3 linked regions of the Drosophila melanogaster genome follow. The protein of the gene in region 3 interacts with the protein of the main gene of each other region in a pairwise test. Each region holds a gene or a part of one and is shown on either strand. Other genes may lie near its edges.

What was found.
Region 1: the proteins of Pus7 (region 3) and Ntmt interact in a two-hybrid assay, tested with the Drosophila melanogaster proteins (one large-scale study listed by BioGRID).
Region 2: the proteins of Pus7 (region 3) and Fbxo42 interact in a two-hybrid assay, tested with the Drosophila melanogaster proteins (one large-scale study listed by BioGRID).

The regions. Positions count from the first base shown.
Region 1 is NT_033778.4:9,862,502-9,868,118, forward strand, and holds Ntmt (N-terminal methyltransferase), read left to right. Parts: upstream 1-3,130; 5' UTR 3,131-3,202; coding exon 3,203-4,033; 3' UTR 4,034-4,550; downstream 4,551-5,617. Other genes in the region: CG30010 (uncharacterized protein), read left to right, coding at 1,316-1,462, 1,516-2,016; peo (pendolino), read right to left, coding at 2,089-2,568, 2,623-2,726, 2,789-2,853, 2,923-3,008. UniProt on the Drosophila melanogaster protein: Alpha-N-methyltransferase that methylates the N-terminus of target proteins containing the N-terminal motif [Ala/Pro/Ser]-Pro-Lys when the initiator Met is cleaved.
Region 2 is NT_033778.4:22,171,645-22,178,495, forward strand, and holds Fbxo42 (F-box protein 42), read left to right. Parts: upstream 1-3,277; 5' UTR 3,278-3,492; coding exon 3,493-3,673; exon of another isoform or gene 3,674-3,681; intron 3,682-3,731; coding exon 3,732-5,113; intron 5,114-5,170; coding exon 5,171-5,611; 3' UTR 5,612-5,784; downstream 5,785-6,851. Other genes in the region: a (arc), read left to right, coding at 1-341, 438-608, 672-789, 853-883; CG3045 (uncharacterized protein), read right to left, coding at 1,230-1,306, 1,363-1,923, 1,982-2,467, 2,524-2,615, 2,672-2,955; CG11170 (uncharacterized protein), read right to left, coding at 5,797-6,843.
Region 3 is NT_037436.4:8,507,442-8,514,554, forward strand, and holds Pus7 (pseudouridine synthase 7), read left to right. Parts: upstream 1-2,561; 5' UTR 2,562-2,643; coding exon 2,644-2,762; intron 2,763-2,822; coding exon 2,823-3,010; intron 3,011-3,071; coding exon 3,072-3,443; intron 3,444-3,498; coding exon 3,499-3,601; intron 3,602-3,660; coding exon 3,661-5,083; 3' UTR 5,084-5,566; downstream 5,567-7,113. Other genes in the region: ZC3H3, read right to left, coding at 157-540, 599-794, 892-1,437, 1,536-2,203; CG6683 (uncharacterized protein), read right to left, coding at 6,755-7,113.

The sequences.
Region 1 (5,617 bases), on a different chromosome or scaffold from region 3:
AAATCTATCAACCTATTGGATTAACTACCACCTCCAAAAAGATTCCACACGCTGCTGGGCGATTTTAGCGTATTGGTGAGCTGATAAGAGGGCCACGCCTCCGTCTGAATGGAAATCTTTTATAAGCTATCAGGCCAATGGTGCAAAACCGGCCAGTCATTCCCAATTACTGGACGTACCATATCTTATCAGCTCCAAAGGCGGGAATTAAACTTTAATACTCTGCCTTCGTGGGGATTACACTCTTCTATGGTGCCTATAGGTCGATACAAGATTACTATTGGTTATGTTCGAAGAAGAGTATTCGTTAGTCGCTGCGTTTAAGGTGTCAAAGCCAAAACAGTATTATACACGTGCCGCTTATTTTGGTACTTGAACTTTCTCATGCTGACAATGATAACGTTTTGGTTTGATTTAACTCCTCCGATTTATGGTTTAAATATGCCAATGTGTTAAATTATCAAGCCTTTTAACCACAAGTTTTTTTGCGGTACGAAACCATAATAATTAAGAGCCTTGGACTATAACTTATGAATTTCGTTCTAAGGATAAAAAAACAAGTACTGTGATAAGAAAAAGACAGTTAATTAATTTTTAAGAATAAATTTATCAAAGTCCAAAGTTGATACTACTTCATATTGGGTTTGATATATGACAAATGTGAAGTAAAAGGCTGATCGCTGCGACCTTCAAGTAATCTATTATTAAAACCATATACCCATACGATATAACCTTTATTGAAACGGTAACACTTACCTAAAGGGAATGTTTTTAGTTACATTTTCAGATTTTTGCCAAAACCAATTTTACGATACCTTTAAAATTGTATATTTGTACTAAAAATACAATATACAATATATAAAATATAAAATATTGCAAATGAAATAATTATTATTTTCAAAATTATTTATAATTTTGCACGATTTACTACTAATTAAACCAAACTGTGTTTTAAATTTTTAACGGATATTTCATTAAATAAAAGCTTAGCATACTTTTTGGTAGTTTTCACTTTGCTATTTTAAGCAAAACCTGAGCTTTTCGACCAAATGTCGAATTCAATAGACAGTCACATAGCCACCTTTTTTTAAATAAAATGTTTTCATTTCTGTATATCGCTGTATTCGCGATGCAAAAATATGTGACTGCCAAAAAATGTACTTGCAAAAATAATCGCTACCTATTGAGAAAATACAAAACTGTAAAAACGTTAAATTGATAATGGGAGGTTATCAAATGCACCTACAGATGTAGTAAACAAAAGTCAGCTGTTTTTGTTGCTCATAAGAAGACACAGTACTCAGATAGAGGAACAATGTTTATACTACGTTCTAGATCCCTTACAAACCTAAAATTCGTTAGATCTCCAAGCATATCTTGCCGTTACGTACAATATAACCAAGGTCAATCTCCGGAGCCAAAAATTCGCGAATACTTTTACTATATCGATCATGAGGGAATGGTGAGACTCTCAACTATGCATCTGTGCTTCAACTCGCATAACCCGTTTTGCAGCTCTTCCTGGACGATGCAAAGATGAAAAACTTCACCAGCTGCTTTAAGGAGAAGGATTTCCTCAAGTTCTTTTTCAACCGACTGCGGCTAAACAAAACGAGCAGATATGAAAGCGAATTTCCATACATTTCCCTCTGTGGCCGCGAAAGGAATTTTATTAGGTGCGATGACACACCTGTTGTGTTTACTGAACAGCTGAGGAAGGACGATACGGAGGTGCTCAGCTATGCACACGCGGGACAGGTCCTTACCCTGCCTTACGAACCCCACAAACTGTACATGGATCCGCGAAACGGAAGGGTCTATCATCCAGCTGCGCCACAGGTGGGCGGAATAGGCCTAGTCCGCTCCAAACTGGCCATCGAGCTCAGCCAGCACTTTGAGTTTCTCGCTGGCGAGGCTTCCCCCACACATTTCCAATGGAACGGAGAACGTTTAGAGTTGCAGAACGAGTGGGTTAACAATACTCAGCGATTTCCCATGAACGAGGATTGTAAATAATTGAATAACTTTAATCGTTTTAAAATTGAGACAACGATAGAATATAACTTACAGAATATATGTATATTGGTTTTACTCAATGCTAAGTGGCTTAAACTCGCCCTCCTTAACCCATGACAGACCAGTTGCATGTCCACCATTTGCTTGTTGCGCTGAAGGCTCCGTCAGCTTGCTTCTTCCGGCCTTGATGCGCTCCAGAACGGGCCCGTGCACGTCCTGCTGGAACTTCTCGAATACTATGTAGTGCGGATCTTCGGTGGGTGGGGTGTCAAATATATGCTCCTTGCTCTCCTTGATATTTTCCTGTACGCGAGCAACATACTCCTCCTTGTTATTCATCAGCAGCTCCGCAGCCTCGCTGTTTTTGAGCTTATCTACCTCAATGCCCCGAATACTGTCCAAGGGATCGGAGAAAATGACTTGCAGGTACTTTAAAAGCTGCCAAAGGTGATCCTCTCCACAGCGCCACTCCGGGAAGGCGTGGCTCACGTCCAAACTGTGGGTGTACGGGCACACATGGGGATGAATCACATCCTGCTGGAAAATTATGCTCTAAAGGGGACTTGTAGAGTTAAATACGTTTGCTCTATTGCCGATCCTACTCACCGGAAGACTTTTGTCGTCGGGAAAACGATCTGGGAGCAAAATTGTGAATCGAAAAACACTTTCCGCATACAAGCCCTGTCGGCCAAAGAAGACTCCAAACCACTCTATTAACAAAAGATAAAATTAGCTAAAGACTGCATACAGGTTGGCAGGTGGGTAGACTAACGCAAGGAGTTAGCATAGCTGGGTATCACATATATCCCACTCAACTTCTCCGACTCAATCATTTTGCTAAAACATAAGAAATTAAATAAGTTTAGTTTTACTCCACGTAGTTATCAGTGAACTCTGAAAACTCACTATTCGGCCAGAATTTTATACTCCTGCTGTATGGTTGTGATCAGCAACTTGTCATCTTTCTTATGCGCATCCAAATCGAGAGTCATTTTGTCCGGACAATAGAAAAATTAAACAAAAAACTAGTAACATAAACAAACGGACAATTTTGTTGCTTGTTGAACAGCTGATTGGTGAAGGGTTGCCACTCTTTCGTAAAACCTAAATGGCTCACTGTGTTTAGGAGCCCTGGTTATCGCACTAAAACAAAACAAAGCATGCGGCCTTCGAAATCCTGACAAAAATGACGACTACATTAGAAGAGCAGCTTTCAGACAAGTTGCAGATGATGGACGAGACCACGGATAAGGTCCAGGGGTCGTCGAAGCAGAAGGATGATAGCAGTATAGCCGCAAGTTCAGATGCCAAGACAGCGTCCCCTTCTTCGAGCGATAGTTCGACCAAAGTCGCCGCACCGGAGTCCGAATTTTACAATAAGGCACAAAAATATTGGTCTGAGGTACCGGCGACTGTTAACGGGATGCTCGGCGGCCTGGGCTACATTAGTGCCATAGATATACAGGGATCGAATGTGTTCCTGCGCGAGATCCGCGTGCCGGGCAACAGGTTGGCCCTCGACTGCGGAGCTGGCATTGGTCGGGTGACTCGGAATCTCCTGATCCCCCGCTTCAGCTGCGTGGATCTTGTCGAGCAGGATCCCGCGTTTGCCGATAAAGCACGGGAGTACTGCACTTCGGAAGACGGAAGCCGTGGAAAGGTGGGACAGATCTATAACGTGGGATTGCAGAAGTTTACGCCTACGCAACAGTACGACCTCGTTTGGACCCAGTGGGTCCTGGGCCATCTCACGGACCGCGATCTGGTCTCGTTCTTTCGACGCATAAAGCAGGGACTGGCGCCCGGCGCCTTCTTGTGTCTGAAGGAGAACGTGAGCAGCTCGAAGAAGACAGTGGAAGATAGGAACGACTCGTCGGTAACGAGGCCTCTGGACAGCTATGAACACTTCCTAAAGGAAGCCGGATTTCGCATTGTACGCAAGGTCAAGCAACAAAACTTTCCCAAGGGACTCTTTCCAGTGTACATGATAGCCTGCAAACCCGTCTCCAAGGAATAGGTTTAGTATTTAGTTAGTTTTACTGTTGACCTACAAGCGATTGTACTAAAGTTATCCGAAAAATTTAATGTCACATTACTAGCTAGTCACTTCAAATTGTAGCGTTCTAATCAACGAATAAACAAGCTTACAAAAGCTTGAACACGTTCCTTAATTGATGCCTTCAAAGTGCTTTATTCACGGGATATAAACAAGAAAAACACAATTATTACTAAATTATGTTTACACAAAAATAATATTTTTATCAACCACGCGACCTCGCAATAGTATAGAATGCCAACAAATTCGTTAGTAGTAGAAAAATCTGCTTCCTTAAGTCCCCATTTGCCAATTTTAAATTAATTCTCATAGTGCTATTAGCAATTCTCTTTTCTCAATTCAAATGGATTTCCTTATCTCCATAAATGTTAGTCTTGAAGATCTGGCGACAGCGGATTGATCATAAGCTCAATCTTTTGCCTGGAAACAAGATTACTTGAAAAGTTTTTTAGGTATATAATTACGTCAAAAAGAAAATTACAATTAAAATATATAATTACGTCAAAAATAAAATTCAAATAAAGGGAGAATTTGGGGCATAACAAATATTTTCAGAAGGATATTAAAAATCCTAAGGACAAAACTTAAACATGCAAAAGTTGATAAAAAGTTTGTAAATGAGTTTCTTTATTATTATTACTATTTTTGCATTTAGGAATTAAGAGCCATATTCAGTTCTTTTCCAAATTTTTACGTTGGGTTCAGAAACTATTTTTAAAAGCATACTTTTAAAGAGGCTGCAAACTAAGCATATGTCTGCATTCGTTGAGTTGATATTTCAAACTGCATTTTTATTTCATTGTTCAAGCTTATATAGCTAAAATGAAATTCACATGTTCTAATATTATAAATGGCTTAGACCAACGTAGTGGTGGTCCTCACCATGAGAAAAGATGTGAGTTTCCACTTTTCTATATGCTATAAGAACGTATCTTATTTAACGAATAAGCGTTGTTACTTTTTAAGTATAGGCAGACCAATGTTTTGACAATACAATTGCTGAAGCGGTTCAATCGCTTTACCTACAATATATATGTATATACATACATATATACTCTAATATATTCTTGTTCGTGTGACATTGGCAAAGTTGTTTTCCTCTAAGAACAAACGTTATTTATCCCTTAACGATTGCGCTTTCAAGCCGAGAGCCCTTTCCACATTGCTACACAAACTCAAGTGTTGCAGTTCTGAGCTTCTCAGTTCAGTTATTCAGCTGAAGGGCTCAAATCGCAAAGTGTCGAAATAAAAGTAATCCAGGAAATTTTTTGAGGGAGAATCTTACATGTGCAAAATTACTGAGACAATTGTGACTGTATCAAAGTATCCGTTCATATCTTATGTAAATGAATCGAGAGCGATAATTTATATTTAGGATTTTGTTATCTAAGGCGACATGGGTGCAGTGCTCAAAATCATGTGCACACCACATGAGTCAGTCACTTGAGATCGTTCCCCGCCTCCTAAAATAGTCCCTTAGTGGGAGACCACAGATAAGGTCCTCGCCGCTCAATATAGGCAGATGAGCCGGAGGGTGGGACCTTG
Region 2 (6,851 bases), on a different chromosome or scaffold from region 3:
TAACAGTCTAACCGTCGGAGAAGGAGTCGCTAACACCCCATCCTCTACAGCTACCACAACCACTGATCTCACTAACCAGCAGCAACAGCAGCAAAACCAGCAACAGACACACCAATCACTGTACATCAAGCACTCGCCAAAGAGCGTCTCATTGTTCTCGCCTAATCCCTATGTTAACGCCTCATCCTCACCAGCTTCGGCATCCACATCAGCGGGTGCCGGCTCCTCCCTGGCACCGCCAGCCGCTGCCCTAATGCATCACAGGCCATCGCTTCCGGTGGCCAAGCTAACAATACGCGACGAGGAAATGGCGGAGGTCATCCGTGCGTCGATGAGCGAGGGTGAGATTCAGTAATCTAATAATCAGCTAAATAACTTACTAGAGTAAATCAAGTAATTTACCGTGTCAAATACTAAACACTTATTACAAATTATAGGTAGTGGACGTTGCACCCCGAAGACTATAACCTTCTTTAAGGGACCTGGACTGAAATCGTTGGGCTTCAGCATAGTGGGAGGTCGAGATTCGCCAAAGGGCAACATGGGAATTTTTGTAAAGACCGTGTTTCCCTCAGGCCAGGCAGCCGATGATGGCACACTGCAAGCGGGTAAGTTTTTTTTTTAAAGGCTTTTCGATATCTATAGCCACAACTAAAATACACTCCAAACAGGCGACGAGATTGTAGAGATCAATGGAAACTCTGTGCAGGGCATGAGTCATGCCGAAACCATAGGACTCTTTAAGAACGTAAGAGAGGGCACCATTGTGCTAAAAATCTTAAGAAGAAAGTAAGTACATTTGAGGAAACTATTATTTTTATTTGAAAACTAATGTTCCACTTTTTTTTGCAGATTACAGAAAGCTAAATCGATGGGTTGCTAGTGCTAGTTAATGCCCGTATTTGACTTATTCCCATGGTAATACATAATTATGGACAACCTGCATCGTTTAACCAAGTTAAATGGTAGCTTCTCTAATTAAGTGAAGCCTTTTTTGTAATCGTACAAAGCCCCTTGCAAGAACTATACTTATACACAGACTCTATTTAGAAACTAGAATCCCAAATAGTATGTAAAGAATTGTATGGAGTTACAATTTTAAATTATTTACCCATTCTAGACTAGGCTAAGGTTCGAAACGTTGTACAAGTTCTATTTACATACAACCTTAATATATTTACCTGAAAAGCAATATACGTTTTGTTTCAATGACATTATATTAAAATAAATCACTCTGTTTCCGTTTCATTCTTCACAATCAGTCGTTGCTTTTTTACAAAATGCTCTATCCGGTTCTCCAAACTCTCTGGAAAAAATGATTGATTTTAGTAAACAAAAAATAAGTGTGCATTCAATACATACCACATCGTTTGCGTTCTAAAAGAGGCTGATATTGACGCGGATTGACGGAATCTTGCAACAGGATTACCTGAGCCAGTACCTTCTCTTTTGGCTTAAAATTCTCTTCAAATAAGTTTTCCAATTGTTGCAGCACATTGCGTATCATGGTGCTCTTAACGCTAAATTGCGTCCACTCACACTGGGTGTTTTCAATAAGCTTTTGTAGATTTTCCTCATTGTAAATCCACGCTGTAAGATCACGCTCCAAGTGCTCCGGAGCATTTAAGTCATTTGATTCGTCGGCGGCTGTATCCATGGCTTCTTCGTCTGCATCACCGCTGCTTGGATGGTTTACACTTCTTGTTGTGTGGTCTCGAAAGTCGCAACGAAACAGATTTAAGGGCAATCCAATTGCGGGGGTGTACTGAGGCTTGCAGGGATTAGACTCCACATCAAGCAGGTCACTTATTACGCCCGGGTTTTCCTTTTTTTGGCCAACAAGTAAAAGCACCGCCATTATGCAACGGATTTGGTGCCAAAGGAAGGCATTTGCTTGAATCTCCAGGTAGTACATGTCGTAGCCTGTGGAATATGGCGCTTTATAATCTTTTAGAACTAAAGCTTTTGCTCAGGAACAAACCTGAATTTGTATGATTTGTCTGATCACAAGCTTCCACCCTGGCAGATTGCAAGTTTCTCATGTAGTTGGTTACTCCGTTGTGCACGTCCATTTTGCAGAAATTACGGAAGTCGGCGTGACGCACTAGGAGATCACAGGCTTTACGCATGGCAGCAATGTCCAGGTCACCCTTAGGAAAGTAGTAACGATAGGTGCGGGAAACGCAATCAAATCGAGCGCTATAAACCGGACTGCGCAGTGGCATCCAAGCCACGCACTGAATGTTCTTGGGCAGCACTCGATTCAGGAGTCCACAGTAGTCAATCTCGGAGGAAAGCGCTGTGGGATCCAGCTGGGATTCGGGCGGATGCTTGCTGCGCAGATCTATGGAGATAACCTGGCAGAAGGCGCTCACCTCCTTGTCTGTGCGTCCACAGCGGTGATAATTGGAAGTGGCGCGAGATTCGATGAGGCAGGTACGAGCTAGAGCGCGGAACAAGTTGGATTCTGTGGCAAAGCAAAAGATTTAGCAAAAATCTATAAGATTTGTGTTCAGAACCTACCGATAGTATCATTGGAATCCTCCTGGCAGGCAAATCCTTGATAATCCCAACCAAAGTAGGTAATCTTAAGCAAGACATGACGCTTGTGTGCACTGAAAAAATTGAATCATGGAGCTTGATCCAATCTGGAAATGGTTCCACAACATACCTGCTCCAATCGAACTTACGTATCTTCTGCACTTTGCTGGATGTCTTGGCCACCTGGCTAACTTTGCCCTCCGCTTCGTTTCCAATTAATCCAGAGTATTCCTTATCATGTTTATCTTTCTCGCTTAACTTTTTCTGCAGCAGATTCCGCAACTGAAAGTTATAGGCCTCCAGTTGGATAACCTTGTCGATCAGCTCGGTTTGAGTCAGTTTTTCAAGTGCCTCTCGGCTTAAGCCTTTTAATCGTTTATTTATCACAACTTTTTTGTCATTTGTTGCACTCATTTTGGCGGTTAATGAGAAATAAACAATTTAAAAGCAACACGTGAAATTACTTTGGCTTTTGCCATTCGCTACGAAACGCGCACAACAGAGATGAGCAAGCTTTGCTAATAGCGCAAATCCACTGGATGTTGCATGTTGTTTGTTGTATGAAAAAGCTGTTTGGCAATTTGAACAATAAAGTAGGCGAATTTACTTGATTTCACGTATTTTGAAAAATAAAACCTTTATTAATAATCTGTCATTCCAAAGTTGATCAGAAATAAATATATGATATGAAGCCTGTAATTTTGGTATTTTTATTGTGACCATTTGTATGTTTCTGACTTCAGCACGGTCACACTGTTCGCAGCTACTGTTTATGTTATAATTTATTTTTGTTGTATAAAAACCCGAAAATCATCTGGAGTTCAAGCCAGCATATAAGTTCAGCGACTTAAAATCATTCGCTGCCTATTGCTGCTTCTGTGGTGCAGCATCCGAGGGTGAAGCACACCACGAAAGCCACGAAGAAAGGGGGCAGCAAGGACATCACAAAGGATGGACGCGAGCAGATACAAGGTCGACGGCGAGAACGACAATTGCGGGGCGACCTTGGCCGCTGTAAATCTGAATGTCCTTCCCGATGAGATACTGGAGTTCATATTCACCTACCTGCCACCCTACGGCGACTTGGAGCACTGCAGCCTGGTGTGCAAGCGATGGCACGCCATTGTGAAGAGTGGGCATCTGGAAAGTGCGAATATAATACAACTTAACTAACTTCTTATCCTTTGCAGACCTTGTGCGTCGTTCCAGACACAATCTCGAGAAGGGCCTCATCGACTTTCGACTGCGCTGGGAGGTGTTTTCCCAGCAGACAGTCAATGGCGGGGCAGGAGCACTATTATCCTTTATTGCCGGAAGATTTGCTCATTCGGCTGTGCGGCAAGACAACTCCATGTACGTATTCGGCGGTGGATCCTCGTCGGACACCACCTTCAACGATCTGTGGCGCTTTGATTTGACGCACATGCGGTGGGCGCGGCCAGTGGCCACAGGAACCTATCCCTCGCCCAAGGGCAGTGCATCAATGGTGGCGTGGCGGAACCAGCTGATACTCTTTGGCGGATGGCGATACCCCTCGCTACATCCGCCCTACCAACCATGGTGCTTATTTGACGAGCTGCACTACTACGATCTTGGAAAGAACCGTTGGCTGCTGCGAAGCTCCCTATCTTCCCCACCACCGATGGCTGGACACTCGGCCACGGTACATGGCGATCGGATGGTAGTTTTTGGTGGTTACCAGATCAAAGACGATTTCAATGTGAACTCGAACGACACATGGGTACTGGATCTGCCGGAGCAGCGCTGGTGGCAGCCGCTCTTTGTGGGCAACACGCGACCCAGTCCGCGATACGGACAAATACAGGTGGAGTTGGGAAGGAACCATCTGCTGATCGTGGGAGGATGTGGCGGTGCCAATCGCGTGTACACTGATGCCTGGCTGCTGGACATGACCAGGGATGTATGGAGCTGGAAGTCTATTGCTGTGCGCAACAAGCGCTTTGGAGCCGTCCACATGTGGTGCAATCCCGGTTGCAAGGTCAACAACTACCTGGTGGTCGTGGGCCCATCGCCCAACATGCCGCAGGACTTCCAAATGATGAAGCAAAGCAGAGTCCCCGTCGTTGGAGGCCGTGGACCTCCGCCGCCGAATCCTCTTCAAAATGTACCTCCAAGGGGATACCGGATACCAGTTCCGGATCGTCGACTAGGTGGAGGTGGATTGGGTGGACCTGGCCAAAATCGCGGAGGAAACATCCGTCCTGGAGTGGGAGGTGCAGCAGCTGCACTGGGTCCTCAAGAACAGTATTTGGCTAACCGGAGAGCAATTCTTAATCAACACATGCAGCAAGCGCAGCAATTCCTGCACAACAGCAATGTGAACAATAATAACAATAATTACCAACCGCGCTCGGGAAGATTGAGTGATCTGCATGCCCCGCCAGCTGCGGCTGCAGCTGCTTCTCCTCCATCCCCGCCAGTGCGACCAAATGCTCCGCCATCTCCCGCCGACGGCGATGTGGATGCCGCACAGCGTTTGCAAAGAAATTTAGCTCTAAGGTGTCGTGATAATGAACCTAGGCTACCAAAACGTTTCGATGAGCTCTATGAGGTGAGTGATTTTAAGTGCGCCTATCATGGACCTCTTATTTATTTCCTGTTTCAAAAGGATCCCTTTCGAATGGCCGCCTTCAATGTGCCCACACGATCGCGGAGTGCTTCGCGGGATCACAACGAGCGAATACGACGCATGGAGGAGAAGATGAACGCCATTCGCAATTCGCGACGCAGCGCACCGGCGGCCGCCCAAGTGGAACCACAACCGCTGCGCGCACCCTCGCCCAAACGATTGCGCTGCAATGTGCAATCCCTGTTCGTGTGTGACATCTCCGGCATTTTGGACAGCAGCGAACCCGCCCTCGAGTGGGTGGAATACAAAAACTTCGGAGTGCTTAAGGGTGCTCCGGATCGGCTAATCCTCTCGAGCCTCATTGCTGGCAACGGCGAGCTCATCCTCTTCGGGGGCGTGCACAAGGAGACACTAACGGACATCACACATCATGTGTCCAATTCCATACACTTCCTGAGTGTGCCACGTGATATTATCTAAGCTCTGAACCGACGCCCGTCCTAGTCCAACGTTACGCGGATAGCACTTTGTTGCTGGTAACCCCACTTCCCAAATCCTTCAAAGTTCGGCGTAAGAGGTTCATTTAGGCATTAAATTGAGTGTAATGAAGAATATGTTTTATGATTATAAACGATTATTTACTAGTGGATCTCCAACGATTGGCTTTAATTATTGCTTTCCAGCACTTTTATTAGGTCGTAAGCATGTTGGAAACGCATATCACAGAAGTCATCTTGGCATGCTACACACTGCTCCAGGAGCAGCTGCAGCTTTTCGTTGTCCAAATTCTTAAGCAAGTAATCCCTTAGCAAAAGGCACGCCTGGTAGATATTGGCATCCAGCTGATGGCCGGAGCAGAATGCAGAGACATCAAATGTGAATCCCTCGCCGGTCAGCGGCTCGTACTTTTCGGCATGTCCTGCTGCGAACGAAGCGTCCACCAGGACCACGGAGTCCAAATCAATGAGGTACACCTTCTTGGTGTCTTCGTCGTAAGCCAAATTATCGGCCGTGAAATCGGTTAAGATAATGCGAAAGTCCGCGAATCCAAAAGTCAGCTTGAGGGAGAGCTGGATCAACTGGAGAGCCAGCTCCACACGCAAACCTTCTTCAGCATCGACGTAATGAGCTAAAGTACGTCCTGCATTGGATTGAAAATGTGTTAGTCCGCAGGAGGCGTAGGTGGTAGGCACTGGAAATCCCTGCAGATGCAGTTCCTGCATAAGCAGCGGACTAACGTAGTACATCATGTAGAACCACACACTGGCGGCAGCATGTCCACGCTGCTCCAAGTACGAAACAAAGCGGGGTTCCCTTGCCAGAGTTCGGCAGAGATGAAAACCACCAGGTCGCTCCTCTAGTTCATAGAAATCTTTTTTCACATTTTTTATCTGATTACTCTGTGCATCAATGATTTTTCTTTTGGCCACCAGCTGGACTTCCTGATCCCGGTCTTTTAGCCTTAGAAAGTAAATCGCTCGGCGATCAACGAGCAACGAAATGGCTTTCACAAGTCTACTCCAATCCGAGGGCTCTGCAATTTTCTGGAAGATTTCCCCGCACGGCTCACTCTGTCCAACGAAACAGTCTGGACACAAGCGCAGATCCTTCTCGAAAAGTTCCTGGAACACCTCTCGCTGCGGCTTCACCTGCAGCTCCTGCAGCAGGGCCAAAATGAGCACCACTTTCAGTTGGCCGTGTGACAGGTGCATCACAGGGA
Region 3 (7,113 bases):
TTTTATTTATTTTACGCAAATAAATTTGTCTTTTTGAATATTTTATTAAAACTTGAAAATAAGCTACTAAAGATAAATCTTAGACTAAACGTTAAAACAATACTTAACCGAATTAATTTGTACCTGAAACGTTGGGTCCATAGCCTTCGCATAGCCTTATAGCTTTTCTTCGCCACCTAAGGGAATAAAAGAGGGTAGAGTTCCCAGTTGAGGACGTCGTCGAGGGCAAGGGGCACCCGCTTCCTTCTGATCCTCATCCTCCGCTTCAGGTTTCTTCTGTTCCACATCATCTCTAGTCAATATTGCTTCCGCTGGTTCCTTGTGGGACCCAAAGTAGCGTGAACTGGTGGGCAACTCATCCGCTGTAGACGATTCTTTCGCGGTATCCGTGAAGGCGACAGGTTTACTGCCCAGTTTGGGACGCGACTTGACTTTGGCCAATCGCTTTGATGGCGACTTCTTACAGAACACGCACCTGGGTAATTCGCACTTGCCCTTGCGCTCCAACTCGGGACAGGAAAACTCGTGACGTTTGTTGCACTTAAAATGTTTTGGAGTTAATAGGTTTTCAATGAAAATAAGTGGCAGACCTATTTACCTCGGCAGCCAACGGACAGTAGCCGCGCACAAAGTCAATACAAATCTCGGTCTTGCTGCTCAGCTTCTTGTGTAGGTACGGGCAATCCTCGCGAACGCAAACGCCGCGCAAATAGTACCGACAGACGGGCATCTTCTCCAGCGTGACATTATGGGACAGCAGGCATTTGGGTTTGGTGCACTCCCCGCGCAGAAAGCTGCAAGTAAATGATTTCAAAAAGATAACCGCATTGCGAATTTCGAACATTGGACGCCATCGAAGGTTTAGCACTCTTCGCTTGGCCAAGGACAAACCTGACACAGATGGCAACCTGCCGCTTGTCGTGCAGCTTGCGGCACTTGCCACGACTATGGGCAACGCACTTGCCCAGCTTCTGGAAGATGGCACAAGGCACATTGGTCTTCACCAACGATTTGTTGAGCAACGTCAGGCTTCTCTGTTTGGCGGTGATTAAATGGGCTCGCGACACGTGATTACTGGTGCGTACAAAGACATTCAGTGCCTTTGGCGAAGCAACGTAGGTAAGGCCGCCGATATCGATGCGCCTCAGGATGCTACGATTTACGCTACTCTGGGTAGCACCAGTTGATGAGGTTGAAACTCTGGTCAGGCGGCAGCCGGAAGGATCTAAAATGAACTTATTGCCGCTGACGAAGAGCGTTCTGCCGGACAAGGTACGCTGCAAGGTCCTGGGACTCTCCGATTTGGCTACCCTAGCGGAGGAACTGGCATCCAGCTTGGTTATTTTGTTCTTCGATATCTTCTTGTACATCACACCGTGTATGCTGACCATGCTCAGGGATTTGTTAACGCCCAGCTTCAGCGCCTGCGGCTTGGAGCTGTAATAAAAGTTAAGTTAGTTGATGTACATTACCTTGTCTAACAGAGTCGCCTGTTGCTTGACTATTTTCAACTGCTCGTATCCGATTTTCATTACCTCAGTTTTCTGTTGGGCTGCGCTTCATTGGTGCGTCTCAGGGCGTACTGGCCCACAAACTCGCGTAGAGGACGACGCTTTTTGACCAGCGGTGTGCAGGTAAGTGATATGGAACGCACTAATTTGTACCTAGTGCGTTTAGCAGGTGGAGGAGGATGGAGGGCAGCAACCGCTGGCGCTGCTTTCAATGCTCCTTGCCTCACAATTTTCCGCTTGGAAATGCTTACCAATGGAGGCTGCACCAGGCTGGAAACAGTGGGCACAGGTACTGAAGCAGCGAGCTTCACCGCCGGACCACTTGCCACCACTGATGGCTTGCGCACGAGACACGTGCTCACTTTGCTGATGATCTTGGCGGGCGGAGGAGGTGGAGTCGCCAGTAGGTGTATCGTTGGATCCAGTCGATAGTGCGAGGCGGAAACTTGTTGCATCATAAGCTGCTCCTGCTGCTCCCGCTGGTATTGGTCGTACATGGCCCGCTGGCGATTCAGAAAGTGCGGATTGATATGGATCGCGGGCTGAGGCTGCAGTGGCGCCTGGAACGCCTGGAAGGGCACTTGGAACGGCAGCTGATGCGCCGTTTGACCTTGCAGCTGAAAATTCGGATTGATGTACACCTTTCGCGACATAGACGGCTGTGCCTCGTCGGCACTTATATGCGGCAACATTTCGTTGCTTCCTTGGCTTAACCTAATGAATTAATCCGTTCCAATTTTTGGTTATTTCTCAATTTTTACACTTCTTTCCAATGCTTCTTTGTATTGCACATTTTCTTTACATTACGTACGCAGTGTGAACTTGATCTGGGACCAGAAAAATACCAAAAAATACTGAAGTATAAATGAGGAAAATATACTAACAAAAGTTTTATGATATGTTAATATTAAGCATGTTTTTAAATTATATTTATCATACAATATAAAAAAAGAGGAATATTTGCGGATGAACTTATGCTAACAACCATTTAAGAAATCTATTTCCCGAATAAATGGCACATGCGGCCACCCTAATAAACCTAAAAAGCTTATTGTGAATGGGCACATCATATGTTGTGCAAAACGTGGATTTCATTTGCCGACAAATTTTCAAACGCGAATTTTGAACCAAGATGGGCAAGGATCGGGGCAGAGGACGTAGGAATAACCATTCCGGGCCATACAACAAGAGCAACTGGCGTGGTCAGAAGAAGGATCGCCCCCAAAACAATGGTGGCGGTCAGCGCAACAGGTACAAATTAAATCCCATAAATAATATCGTTGTTAACCGGCGTTTTTCGTTGGACAAAAGTGCTCCACAACAGAAATCCACGCTGCTGGAGACCCAAGTGGGCATTACGGAGTTCACTAACCCGGAGGCACCTGGCTTCACGGGAATACTTAAGTCTCGCTTCTCTGATTTTCACGTGAACGAGATTGATAGCAATGGAAAGGTTCTGGAACTGAACGATCTCAGTGTGCCTAAAGTGGCTATTGTGGGTCTGTATTCACCAATTATCCTGCATACTTGCTTATGCTCATGCATCTCATACTATAACAGCTGTGGCCGAAAACGAACTGGACAACTGGCGGAAAGAACTGGAGGCAGTAATCGGCCCGGAAGTTTGGCAGGATATAGCCAATCTGGCTAAGGCCAAAAACGATCCCGCGATCGAGCAAAAGGTGGAGATTGATGTGACCACTCTGGATAAGGAGCAGCGAACACAAGTCCACCAGATGATAAAACAGCTTTACAAGGGCAAGCTACTGTCCACAACCATTGGACAGCAGCAGGCTAAGCCGAAGGTCCAGGAGGAGGCATCTTTGGAAAATAAGGATGCGGCTGAAGGTGAAACCTCAACCCAGAAAGACTCACAGGTGCCGGCAGAGGAGAAGAAGACTATAAAAGTATTTAAACCAAAGCCAGGACGCGGTTAGTAGAAATGATTACCCAGGGAATTCCTTTTTTTATGCATCGAATTCCATAGGTGACAAACGCTGGAGCTTTCCGGCGGATTACGTGACCTTCCTGGTGCACAAAACCAATTTGGTTACCAGCGATGTGGCCTCTACTTTAGCAGCGCGACTGAAGTAAGTTTGATCAAATTTTAAATGCTTTAATATACTAAGAAAACATTATTTTTCTACAGCTTACGACCATCGCAGGTGAACTACAGCGGCATCAAGGACAAGCGGGCCAAAACCACCCAGAAGTTCTCCGTCAAGCGTCGTACACCAGAGAGCATTTTGGTTGCAGCTCGCTCCCAACGGAATGTTCATATCGGCAACTTTGGATTCGAATCCAATACACTGAAGCTAGGCGATTTGCAGGGCAATCGTTTTCGTATTGCCTTGCGACACATTGCCAAGGAGAAGCGAGAAGAAATCGAGCAGGCACTGCAATCATTGAAGGAACGCGGCTTCATCAACTACTATGGCTTGCAGCGGTTCGGCAACAGCGCCAGTGTCCCAACCTATGAGGTGGGTGTTGCTCTGCTCAAGCACGATTACAAACTGGCCTGCGAACTGATCCTGAAACCCCGGGACTCGGATGTGGAGTTTTTGCGTCCCATACGCGAGGAGTGGTGGAAAAATCGCGACTCCGCGGCGGCAGCTGCACAGATCTACGGCGAAAAGTTCATCGAAAAGAAGCTGCTGGACGGCTTGGCCAGATTTGGTGAATCAGATTACTCATCAGCTCTGCGGCAGATACCACGCAACATGCTCATGCTATATCCACATGCTTACCAAAGCCTGATCTTCAACAGGATAGCGTCTAGACGAATTAAGGAGTTCGGCTTGAAATTGATACCCGGGGATTTGGTTTATGTGGAGCAGGATCAGTCGGAAGCCTCGGAAGAGCAGGCGCAGCAGGGCGAGGCCTTGGAAGAGCAAAAAGAAGAGGAGCCTAACGATGAACCTCTGGAAGTCCCCGAAGGGGATGAAGCCATCGAAGAGGAGTCGATTTTCAAGCGAAAGGTTCGCCCGCTCACAGCAGAAGACATCGCTAGCGGCAAGTACAAACTTTGCGATGTGGTCCTTCCCCTGCCTGGACACGACATCACCTATCCCAGCAACGAGTGCGGCGCGTGGTACGAGGAAATGCTCGCCGAAGTGGGTCTTTCCTCGGATCAACTGAAGCACAAGGAGAAGACATACGCATTGGCTGGCGCCTACCGCAAGATGATCATATCGTCCAGTGATCTCAAGTGGAGCTTTAGAATGTACAATACGCCGGAGGATACACTTATCGCCTCCGACTGGGAGCTATTGAAGAACATTCCGGTTGCACCAGAACCAGCTGAAGCTGAGGCCAATTACATGGCACTCCTGCTGGAGTTCTCGCTGCCCACGGCTGCCTATGCCACCATGTTTTTGCGAGAACTCTTAAAGCAGGACACATCGTCAGCATCGCAAACGCAGTTGGAGAAACAGGCAATGGCTAAGGAGGACAATGAAAAGAAGGCGGTAGGAACCCAGGAGGAACAAATGGAGGTGGTAAAGGAGGTGGCCGACGAGGATGGGCAGGAAACTGAGCAGGCGGAAACTCAGGGGGCCGAGGAGGCGGTGTAGGCCAAGTGAGATACCGAAAATCAATATGCTCAGGAAATCAATTTTACGCGCGCTTCGTATCCAACTTCGAACCAACCACAACAATAACAATGCGCACGTGAGGACGAGGGCTGCTCCCTCTCTCTCTCTCTCTCACTGTCGCATCCCGTGGCTCGCACCCCGTCAATCTCAATCGCTCTCTCTCTCTCTCTCTCTCTCGCCTGGGAGAGTCCTTTTGGTCCTGTTTCTTTGACTGCGATTTTATTCGTTCGGTGGCCACCAACGCGAAAGCTCAAGCGACGCGCTGCGCAGTTTCCCCAGCTCAAAAGTCCAAGTCGCACGGTTTTCCCCAGCGTTCTCAATGAAGAGCAATAACAAATTATTAATTGACAACAAATAACGAACAAGCACGGTCCCCCAAAAATCCACGGACTCCATCCAATTCATCCAGTGATTTAAAGAGATTTTAAACCAAATAAAAAAACCAAGAGGCGAGACAAGGTGAATTTCCAGTTAAATGTAGCATTTAAACGTTTTGGGCGCGTACTTTGAAAATCCATTTATTAAGGCGTAAGTATACATTCGAGTCTACAAATTGTTTATAACTTTTACGACAACACTGAACTAAACAATCACAGAACTGTACAATATTTGATTTTGGCTCTGGCAGCCTATTGATTTTTGTTGTGTGCTTGTGCTGGAAATCAATCGATAATACGGTGTTAATACCAAGAGCTGAGTCCGGGGATTGGGAATGGGAATGGTCTAGTGGGTAGGTGGCTGGCCGTAGGAGTAGTTGGTTCATATAGTGGCTTAGTGCGTCGGAGGGTTCACCATGTACGTGTGAAGTAAGGGGGACTCAGTCGGTACGAGGGGGTAGTGGTAGTGTGGCATCAGTCGTTAAGGGTGCACGACGCTCCTCGCTCGTTATGTTTTTGTTTCGGCCCACTGCTCCCCCTGCGGCAGTCGTCAAATTAATAAACTAAATGCTTGTTTTGGCGTCGTCGTCGCCCTGTCCCCGTGCTGGAGGCCTTCCCCCGATCCGATCCAGACATGGATATTGGACATGTTATTGCTTGCGCGCGCATTCTTTGACTCTTTGACCAGTTCCCAGCAGCAGCTGCGTCATAGTAGGAGTTTTTTGGCGTGGCTCAATTCGATTTTCCCTCGCCTACTCCACCTGCTCCCCGCCCGCCTGTTCAAAGTTGGCTTTTGCCACACAGATAGCTTCCTACTGCATTACTATACACTCCCGCAAGTCTCTGGCTCTATAAATGACCTCTGGCGACAATTGATGCTTTGTTTGGGGTTTACCAGTTGTCTTGAATTTTAAATTGCTAATCTTAAGCCTCAAATAAAATAAACTATTTAATCACAGGCGTGTTAATGTTTTATCATATCATACAATGCAATAGTTAGTTTGTATAGTAAACTTCATTAGATGCGAAGATTAGGTTAAATGAATGGATTAACAATATTTTTTAGGGAAGCATACATTTGGAAAAAGAAGTTATTTAGTATTCGCTTAAGATAATTGTCCAGATATATAAACTATAACAAAAATGACTTAATTATTAAACAATTATATGATCAGTGATGTTTGCTACTTTTGATATCCTATCACGGCATGTATGTATTTAACTTATCATCATGGCAATCTTCCTTTATAACTATATCATCTTGGCAATCTTCCTAAATAACTATATCATCGATTTGCTCGTCGTTCAGGGCGCGCAGATTGCATTTGCATAGGTAGGCCAGAATGCGTTTCTCCGCCTTAATTCGGTTTGCTTCGCCCAGTCCTTCAAGCAGGGCTTCTATCCTCTTTTCTGCTTGAGCCACTGGCGTTGCATGGGCAGGATTTGTGGGTGGTGCTGGTGCAGCTCCCGCAACGGCCAGCTGCTCATCCATGGCCTCCTGGAGCGGATCCTCATCATCGTTGACCTCGTCGCTGGATTTCAGTGTGCTCCTACTCAGATCACCCGAATTTCGGTGATTAATCGGATGGTGGTGATGCTGCAGGAATTTCAAATGCGGCAGAAGACTCCAAT